Arabidopsis thaliana: one gene and its partner. The protein of the gene in region 1 purifies or fractionates together with the protein of each later gene. This does not show direct contact. Each region holds a gene or a part of one and is shown in the gene's direction. Other genes may lie near its edges.

Region 1 (5,933 bases):
TTAAATATGGTTTTGCAGAAAAGGTTTCGGGCTTTTATAGGGCTGGCCCTATTATACTACGGTTCTGTTCGTTTCTCCATTTGACAGATCCATCCAATTGATCCATTCAACATGTCCATCTAGATGATTCATTCGACTCTTGTTCGTTTTATTTTTAGTCGGTTCATTTGACTGGACCATCCGAATGAGATGTTGTTCGTTTACTTATCTCTATCTCCATCCAAATGATTTGCAATAATACAAATACCTAAAATACCCATGCTTTCATCTAATTCTTAATCTAAAATATATTTAAAAGTAAATAAATTTCAAATAATAGTTTTTTATATTTATAAATTTATTTTACGGTTTTGGCGGGAAAACGTGATTTTATGATTTGACGGGAAAACTCGATTTTACAGTTTTGGCGGAAAACAAAATTTTACGTTTTTGGCGGGAAAACGTGATTTTACGGTTTTGGCGGGAAAACGTGATTTTACGGTTTTGGCGGGAAAACGTGATTTTTGCGGTTTTGGCGGAAAAACACGATTTTACGGTTTTGGTGGAAAAACGTAATTTTTTGGTTTTGGCAGGAAATCACGGTTTTACGGGTTTGCCGGGAAACCGTGATTTTGCGGTTTTGGCGGGAAAATAGAATTTTACGATTTTTGCGAGGAAAAAATGATTTTGCGGTTTTGGCGGGAAAACGTAATTGTACGGGTTTTGCTGAAAAACGAATTTTACGGTTTTAGCAAAAAAAATGATTTTGCGGTTTTAGCAGAAAATTTAATTTTTTATTTTTTAAAAAATAATTGTAAAATAAGATTTAAATCTATTTATTTATTTTATCTAAAAATACATCTAAATAATCAATTGAAATAATTAGGGTATTTTTGTCATTTGTTATTTTAGATTGAATCATCTCCATCCAAATGATCCAATTTAGTTCAGTCAAATGAGTTTCAAAATTTAGCCTAAATTTTCAAACTCATCCAGATGATTCATTTGGATGGATCATCTGAATGAACCGTTTTTGGCACCAAACGAACATCAAAACTCATCTCCATCGAAATGATCCATCTTACTGATGAAACGAACATGCCTACAAACTTTTTTTTTTCTTCTTTAACACTAAACGACGACGTCTCTTTTTTTTTTCTTTTTTTTTTTCTTTCTTCTTCTTCTTCAATCTTCTTTCTTCGATCTCTTATTTTTTAAACTCTCTTCTTTGATTGTGAGAAGCCATAAAAAAAGGTTCGATATCTCTCTCTTAATCTTTCATCTTTCTCATTTTTCTATTCTCATAGATTGATATATTCTCTATCTTTGGAATCTGATTCATAGGATTGGGGTTTAATGGTTTTCGAAGAAATCTGGGTTAAAGTGTGTTCGTGTGTTCTCTAAATTTGATTCACTAAACGTGGGTTTCGAAAAATTGAATTCTGTGTAGCTATGATCTTGTGGCATAAGGCAAACTGATTCCTGAAGTTGGAACATCGTTCTCTGGTTCAGTAGAGAACCGACGAACACCCTTCCCCATCTCCGACGATGTTGTTTTTCTGCTTAGGACACAAGTTTGTTTTGTTTTTTTTCTCTTAAACTTTCATACTTTCACACACTCATAAGTTTACACACATTACACATATATATAGGAGATTTCTTCTACTCACCATACCCACTCTCTTAGACCTTAAACTTAGTCACTATTTAACCTTACTTCTAGACATTAGACTTAGGGATACAAGCAACCTTACACAACCTTACCTTAGCCACTAACAACCCCAACTACTCTACCTCAAGTACTTAGCTAGAATAAGCTACTTCTACGAATGGGCCACAACAAAACATACTTCACCACTTTGGGCCTACACAACTTCATCAGCCCAATAAGATAAAACATAAAACCCACTTCTCTTGTCTTCTTCTTCTTCTTCTTCTTCTTCTTCTTCTCACGTCTCTCTCTTACGTCGTCTTCTTCTTCTAGTTTCCAATCTTCTTGTTCTTCATCATTGTTGTTTCCTTCTCACTGATGTTCTTCTTCTTCTTTGCAGGATCAATCGGAGAGTTCAATCTCAACAGACGACCATACCCTCGATACAGTAGCTGCTCCGCTCATCAACGTCCATTTCGCCGCCTTTAGCCGTCAACGTTCTCTGGTTCTGTTGCCGTACAAAATTCTTAAAGGTCGCGTTTTTATGTAAGCGTAGGGTTTAGTTGTCGTCCCGCTCTTTTTAATTAGACTTTGTTAATTTAATTAGGTTAATTAGATAAGACCTAAAACGGCGACGTGTAAGCTGTCGTCTTCTTGACCTTTTTGGTGAACTCCTCCTTCCTCTCTATCGGCTATCGCTCGCTGCGTCTCTGTGTCTTGTTGCTTGGAGCAAGCTCTCCAGCGTGAGTTAATCTAATCTCTGTAATGATTAATTACCTTCTTTTACGGTTTCTGGAATTGCATCTGTGTGTGAGCACTTGGTTTGAAATATGATTTAACTAGTGAATTCGATAATGCTGTTCAATAAGAATGCTTAGAAAAGCCTTAACTGGGTTTTACTCACCACTCTTCTTATTGAATCTAGAAATTGAAAGTGTGAATTTTTGCGAGTTCTCTTATTCAAACTTCACTGCGAAAGGTGGAGTTTTTCGTCTCTGTTTTCTCCCTAATTCTTATAGTTTGAGCTAATGGTGTTAATCAGGCTCAAGAATAGATAAAATAAAATTATGGATTCAGATGCATGGGAAATTATCCATATACCTGAAAAGCCTTCATTGTCACCTGACCATCAGCCCACTGGTATGATTCAATCTCTAAGTTTGGTTTTTTAGTCTATCAAAGGTTCTTTATCTAAACTTCTTCTTCTGTGTGTGTGTGTGTGTTGTTCTTGTTGTTCACAGTGAAGGTATATGCTAGCCTAATCAAACCCAGATTTGCCAATACGATAGTGAGGTTTGTCATTCTTGTTTCGACTCTTGACTCGTTGATTCCAGTGCTGTAATCTCATGAGTGAATTTTTTTACTTTGCTATGATAGGCATTTATGTAAGATTGCTCCTCTAGAAGATCTTCGTCATGTTAAAAGGGTGAAGAAGAAGATTCTGCCAGATTGCGGTATCCCATTGTTAGTTTTCTTAGCGCGCTGATACACCAATCATAAGATTATGAGGTTTTTATTGTAAGCTTATTGGACAGGTGAAACTCAGTTGACTGTCATCTTATGTCTAGCACCTGAGCACAACGATCAGTTGAGTGACATGCCACCTGATGTGCAGAGACTCGTTGATCCCTATGAGTTGAGTCCTTTTATTACACAAGTAGGTTATTTTTCTCTTATCTCACCACTATTTGCTTCAAGGGTTTTTGATTCATTTAGCTTCCAAGTCAGAGATTTCTTTCTGCTCATTCATTTATATTTTCAGTGCAATCTCATATTTCTGCTATAACTATGATAGGTATGCAAATATGCTGCGGTATCCAAAGAAGAGTGGGAAGAACAAAGTAAGATATGGCCTACTTCATTTCATCCACCAACCTAGTAAGCTCCATGTCTAGAATCAGTTTTGTGACCAAAAGAGTCTTTATTATCTTTCTGGTCTTTTTATTATATATGCTTTAGTCGTTCTAGAATAATCTTATTTCTTGATGGTTTCTATTGGTGCTCTTATCTGCATTGTAATAGCAATATATGTCTTTGTTTATAGTGCAACAGTCAATGATTTTTTACTTTTTGCATTTGGCAATGATAGCAATATAGATGGCATCGGTGGGTTCAGCGAGGAGGAAACACAATCAATCTGCAAGTTCATGAGAGTTGTTATTGATATGGCAGTATCTGGTCATACACCAGTAAGTATTTTCCATTGATCTACATAACGTCGATATCAAGTTTTAGACAACAGACCATTCATTTTTCATGTACCATTTGCTTTTTTTAGCGCCTCAATCCTTGTTCTCTTGGTAGAAAGATTTACCATCGTTTCATTACATAGAAAATGATCTCAATTTACCACATTTCTAATGTACTTTTCAGCTTGTGAATGCTGCAGTGATAGTTGATCCTTCAGTTAGGCGAATAATAGCTAGTGAAACTGATCAAGTATATGCATCATCTGCTCCTCGTGACATGACTAGCGCAGAGACCAGGCCCTTCGAGGAAACAGGGGAAATATGTTTAAATGACACACTTGAAAAACAGAATGGTTCATTGTCTGCTCTTTCTTGTCTGAATCCCTGGCAATGGAGTTTGCAGCCGCATGACACTGAAAATTGTAGCCAGTGGCATCCTCTTAGGCATGCTTCCATGGTTGCCATTGAATCCTCTTCTGCCAGAGATAGAAATCTGTTTCCCAATCCATCCAAGATTTTTGATCAGGATCATGTTCCGCCCTCAAATACAGATTCTCCGGCTAAAAAGCAGAAAACAAGCAGTCAGAGTCCAGACGTAAGTTCATTCCAACCAAGTTTTTTAATTTCCTCCACATGCTTTGACTAGTACAGCATTCTCTCTTACACTTCTGAGTTATCGATAGGTCCAAAATGACAGCAGAGAAGAGACTGTTAGAGATCCTTCAATGGAAAGGCCGTACCTCTGCACTGGTTATGACATTTTCCTCCTGTTGGAGCCTTGTACAATGTGAGTTTCTACATACATATTACCCTTTTAAACTCTGCAAGTGTGTGTATCTAATAAAGTCGTGATATGTTCCCAAGGTGTGCTATGGCGCTTGTGCATCAAAGAATAAAACGGATTTTCTATGCTTTTCCAAACACCACGGCAGGTGGTCTCGGGAGTGTTCATAGACTTCAAGGGGAAAAGAGTTTGAACCATCATTATGCAGTGTTTAGAGTTTTGCTGCCTGATGACGCACTTAGACAAATGACCACGGTCTAATGCATTGTTGTAGTCGATTGATAATCAGGTTCTGGGTGAGAAAGCTAATTCTTTGTTCTTGTTCATTCCAAGAATCTGGAATCTTATTGAATTATTATGTAGACCAAAAACTTTCGACTTCTATTACTGTGTATGGCTCAGTACTCTCTAGTCAGAAACTTGTGTTTTAGAGAAACAACAGAATGCAAGAAACGAACCGTCACTAACCAATCCTCACATGAAATAATGCATCTCTACTTACTGTAGTATCAGGTCATTGCATGGCCCAACTGAAATCATTCTTGCACTGCGCTCTCTTAATCTAACAACAGAGGATTGACGATTGCCGCCATTCGAAAATCGTCATTAGCTGAAAGACGAAAGAGGTTGTTATGAGGTAAATGGTGATAATCTCAAACTTGGTTTTCAAAGTTATAAGCTCATCTGATCGCGCAACACGTGTATATTTGTATGTATTAGATTTTGATAGGTGAAAAAAAAATTATGTAACAATAAAAAGTCTAGATTAAGACCTGTGTATGAGTGTTTTAAAATTATAAATTGTACTAAATTTAAGAAAAAGGGTTGTTTGTATATTTGTTTTTGCCTTAATACACTAATTTGCATTTTGATATTTTAAATTTGTTGTAAAATTTATTACAATAATCTAGTAAAGTTAAATTATCAATATGTTATTAGATCAATGTTAGAATCATTTTACAATATTCATATTGTAAGATTTGCATTTCAATATTTTAAATTATTGTAAGATTGTATATATATACACTTATTTATAGCCTATAGACATTTATTATTTCTTATTCATAATTGTAAACTAAATTATTAGTGTTAATTTTTATTTTGCCACAATTAATGTTAGATCTAAAGTTTAAAATCCAAGATTATATCATATTGTACATTTGTTTATTTACTTTTCATTATTCTAAAGTAGATTAATAGTGTTAAATCTCTCTTTTGCCACAATTAATGTTAAATATAAATTTAAGACTCCAAGATTAGATCATTAATTTCTTTATATATTGATATAAAAATCTAAACTAAGAATTATCATCGTACGAAAAGAATGGAG
Region 2 (4,151 bases), on another chromosome or scaffold:
AAGTTATTTTACTTGGTCGTGTTTTGAGGTCAAAGGTCTTAATCCACTTATTAATTAGCCATTTGATTGGTTGTATATAAAATTTTTTGAATTTCCCGTAACAAAATATATGTACTAATACATAGGTAACTATTTCAATAAGAAAAATGTGTTCGATAAAAATTTTCAGATAAGTCCATATTTTGTAGTGGGTAAAAGTATCCTTCTTTGTGCATTTGGTATTTTTAAGCATGTAATAAGAAAAACCAAAATAGACGGCTGGTATTTAATAAAAGGAGACTAATGTATGTATAGTATATGATTTGTGTGGAATATAATAAAGTTGTAAAATATAGATGTGAAGCGAGTATCTATCTTTTGACTTTCAAAGGTGATCGATCGTGTTCTTTGTGATAGTTTTGGTCGTCGGTCTACAAGTCAACAACCACCTTGAAGTTTTCGCGTCTCGGTTTCCTCTTCGCATCTGGTATCCAATAGCATACATATACCAGTGCGGAAAATGGCGAAGACTAGTGGGCTTGAACCATAAGGTTTGGCCCCAATACGGATTCCAAACAACAAGCCTAGCGCAGTCTTTTGGGATGCATAAGACTAAACTGTCGCAGTGATAGACGTAAGATATATCGACTTGATTGGAATCGTCTAAGCTAATAAGTTTACCTTGACCGTTTATAGTTGCGTCAACGTCCTTATGGAGATTGATGCCCATCAAATAAACCTGAAAATCCATCACCATGACCACCATAAACTCCCTTGCTGCCGCTGCTTTGGCTTGAGCAAGGTGTTTCCTTGTAAAGCTCCGATCTTTGGATAAAGTGTTCCACTTTTTGCAAGTAGCTCTGACCCCTCTCAGAGATGTCACCGGAATCTTAGACAGAACCTCCTCTGCCAAATCACTTGGAAGATCGGACAATGTCATCATTTTTGCAGGTAATTTCTCCTTCGTTGCTGCTTTGGCTTGAGCACGGTGCTTCTTTGTAAAGCTCCGATCTTTGGATAAGAGCGGATCGGAATCCTCTAGGAGGTGCCAGTCCCTTGACCTATTAATTTATAGAAGGTTTTAGTGTATTTTGTTCCAATTTCTTCTCTAACTTAACAAATAACAACTGCCTCATAGTCATGGGCTTCAAATTTTATCGCTTGGTGTATTTCGTTATTTGCAAGGCCTTGGCCCATTTTGAGCCCAATAACTAAATCTAGCCTTTTCAGACCGGACATGAACTTCGCATATTGGCGTAACTGTGCAGTTTTACCTTTTTCGGATCAGACAAGATCAGATTTAGACCACCCAACAATAGTCAGTCATATTTGACAACCTAAGCTAGCCGACACTACTAAAAAGCAAACAAAAGAAGAATTCTATGTTGTCATTTTACCGGTGGCAAGTGGACCCTTCTATAAAAGAGTAAAGAGACAGCCTGTGTGTGTATAATCTCTAATTATGTTCACCGACACAATCACACAAACCCTTCTCTAATCACACAACTTCTTCATGATTTACGACATTAATTATCATTAACTCTTTAAATTCACTTTACATGCTCAAAAATATCTAATTTGCAGCATTAATTTGAGTACCGATAACTATTATTATAATCGTCGTGATTCGCAATCTTCTTCATTAGATGCTGTCAAGTTGTACTCGCACGCGGTGGTCCAGTGAAGCAAATCCAACGGTTTAAAACCTTCTTACATTTCTAGATCTAATCTGAACCGTCAGATATCTAGATCTCATTGTCTGAACACAGTTAGATGAAACTGGGAATGAATCTGGACGAAATTACGATCTTACACCAACCCCCTCGACGAGCTCGTATATATAAAGCTTATACGCTCCTCCTTCACCTTCGTACTACTACTACCACCACATTTCTTTAGCTCAACCTTCATTACTAATCTCCTTTTAAGGTATGTTCACTTTTCTTCGATTCATACTTTCTCAAGATTCCTGCATTTCTGTAGAATTTGAACCAAGTGTCGATTTTTGTTTGAGAGAAGTGTTGATTTATAGATCTGGTTATTGAATCTAGATTCCAATTTTTAATTGATTCGAGTTTGTTATGTGTGTTTATACTACTTCTCATTGATCTTGTTTGATTTCTCTGCTCTGTATTAGGTTTCTTTCGTGAATCAGATCGGAAAAATGGAATCTTTTTTGTTCACATCTGAATCCGTCAACGAGGGACATCCCGACAAGCTTTGTGATCAGATCTCCGACGCTATCCTCGATGCTTGCCTTGAACAAGACCCTGAGAGCAAAGTTGCTTGTGAGACTTGTACCAAGACTAACATGGTCATGGTTTTTGGAGAAATCACCACCAAGGCTAACGTTGATTACGAGCAGATTGTTCGTAAAACATGCCGTGAGATTGGATTCGTCTCTGCTGACGTTGGTCTAGATGCTGACAATTGCAAGGTTCTGGTTAACATTGAGCAACAGAGTCCTGACATTGCACAAGGTGTTCATGGTCATCTCACCAAGAAGCCAGAGGAGGTTGGAGCTGGTGACCAAGGTCACATGTTTGGGTATGCTACTGATGAGACTCCTGAGCTCATGCCTCTTACTCACGTTCTCGCTACTAAGCTTGGAGCTAAACTCACTGAAGTTCGCAAGAATGGAACTTGCCCTTGGTTGAGGCCAGATGGTAAGACTCAAGTCACTATTGAGTACATCAACGAAAGCGGAGCCATGGTTCCTGTACGTGTCCACACTGTTCTCATCTCAACACAGCATGACGAGACTGTGACTAACGATGAGATCGCAGCTGATCTTAAGGAGCATGTGATCAAGCCAGTGATCCCAGAGAAATACCTTGATGAGAAAACCATCTTCCATCTCAACCCATCTGGTCGTTTTGTTATCGGAGGTCCTCATGGAGATGCAGGGCTTACCGGCCGTAAGATCATCATCGATACTTATGGTGGTTGGGGTGCACACGGAGGTGGTGCTTTCTCTGGAAAGGACCCAACCAAGGTTGACAGGAGTGGGGCTTACATCGTTAGGCAAGCAGCTAAGAGCATTGTAGCCAGTGGGCTAGCGAGGCGGGTCATTGTGCAAGTCTCGTATGCCATTGGTGTCCCTGAGCCATTGTCTGTGTTCGTGGACAGTTATGGAACAGGAAAGATACCAGACAAGGAGATTCTTGAGATTGTGAAGGAGAGTTTTGATTTCAGGCCAGGTATGATCTCCATTAACTTGGATCTGAAGAGAGGAGGTAATGGTAGGTTCTTGAAGACTGCTGCCTATGGTCACTTTGGAAGGGACGATGCTGATTTCACCTGGGAGGTAGTCAAGCCACTCAAGTCTAACAAGGTCCAAGCTTGAAACCTGTCAGCCTCTGTTTCACTTCTGTCCAGAATCAGTCTTGTTCTCTGTATTTTAGGCTCTTTCTGCCTCTTTAGTTTCAACTCTGAGATGGGTTTATTCATTTTGTTTTCAACTTTGAAGAAAAAAGCTAAGCAGCTGGGAATTTATATAATTATTTATATGGTATTCTTGTGCTAAGAAAGTTAAATTCATAATATGTATTTCTTACTTATTTTGAGAAGAAAATCATATAAGAGAATAATATTCGACATTAGTCTCCTTTGTTTGCATTATCAATATCAAATATTTTGGCTTTGACGAGTCCTTAAACAGAGAGGCAAGTGAGACTTTATTGTAAGAGTTAAAACATGATGAGATTAGATTGCACTGGTGATTCCATGAACGCATACATCAGCTTCAACAAGACATACATCTTTGAGCAACAGACCACTGTTTGGCTGCGTGAAATAAACCATGGATACATATTTCACCCATCCATGCTCCGAGCTTGATCGACTAAACCATTTAGTAACTGTAAACCAGAGAACTTACAGATCAAGAGGTGAACACATTCACATTCATATAACAAGTATGTGATTGAGTTTGCGGTGTTTACCCTTCCCGGCAATGTGTCTGCCTTGTAACTGATCAAATATTCGAATTGTAAACTCTACAAATATCTTTGTACCATCTGAAATGGTTTCAGGATCAACAAGGGTCAGATAGATAGAAAGATGGGTTCCTGTTCCTTGCTTTGTTCCCGTAGGATAAAACTCTATCTTCCTGCATTAGTAGTACCATTTATTAGCTTAAAGCTACGGTTGCTTTGGGATTGTTGGCAAAT

The links.
Region 2: the proteins of EMB2820 (region 1) and MTO3 purify together in Arabidopsis thaliana (affinity purification with mass spectrometry, with the first as the bait; one study listed by BioGRID). This does not show direct contact.

What each region holds. Positions count from the first base shown.
Region 1 is NC_003076.8:8,446,183-8,452,115, forward strand, and holds EMB2820 (Cytidine/deoxycytidylate deaminase family protein), read left to right. Parts: upstream 1-1,771; 5' UTR 1,772-2,163; exon of another isoform or gene 2,164-2,237; 5' UTR 2,238-2,373; intron 2,374-2,672; 5' UTR 2,673-2,697; coding exon 2,698-2,770; intron 2,771-2,871; coding exon 2,872-2,923; intron 2,924-3,007; coding exon 3,008-3,084; intron 3,085-3,153; coding exon 3,154-3,287; intron 3,288-3,425; coding exon 3,426-3,508; intron 3,509-3,719; coding exon 3,720-3,819; intron 3,820-4,003; coding exon 4,004-4,414; intron 4,415-4,502; coding exon 4,503-4,606; intron 4,607-4,683; coding exon 4,684-4,864; 3' UTR 4,865-4,899; exon of another isoform or gene 4,900-5,110; 3' UTR 5,111-5,387; downstream 5,388-5,933. UniProt on the Arabidopsis thaliana protein: Involved in RNA editing. Catalyzes the specific deamination of adenosine-34 in several cytosolic tRNA species. Generates inosine at the wobble position of the anticodon loop.
Region 2 is NC_003074.8:5,951,658-5,955,808, reverse strand, and holds MTO3 (S-adenosylmethionine synthetase family protein), read left to right. Parts: upstream 1-1,717; 5' UTR 1,718-1,908; exon of another isoform or gene 1,909-2,116; 5' UTR 2,117-2,143; coding exon 2,144-3,325; 3' UTR 3,326-3,622; downstream 3,623-4,151. Other genes in the region: AT3G17400 (F-box family protein), read right to left, coding at 365-922; AT3G17380 (TRAF-like family protein), read right to left, coding at 3,685-3,839, 3,924-4,090. UniProt on the Arabidopsis thaliana protein: Catalyzes the formation of S-adenosylmethionine from methionine and ATP. The reaction comprises two steps that are both catalyzed by the same enzyme: formation of S-adenosylmethionine (AdoMet) and triphosphate, and subsequent hydrolysis of the triphosphate.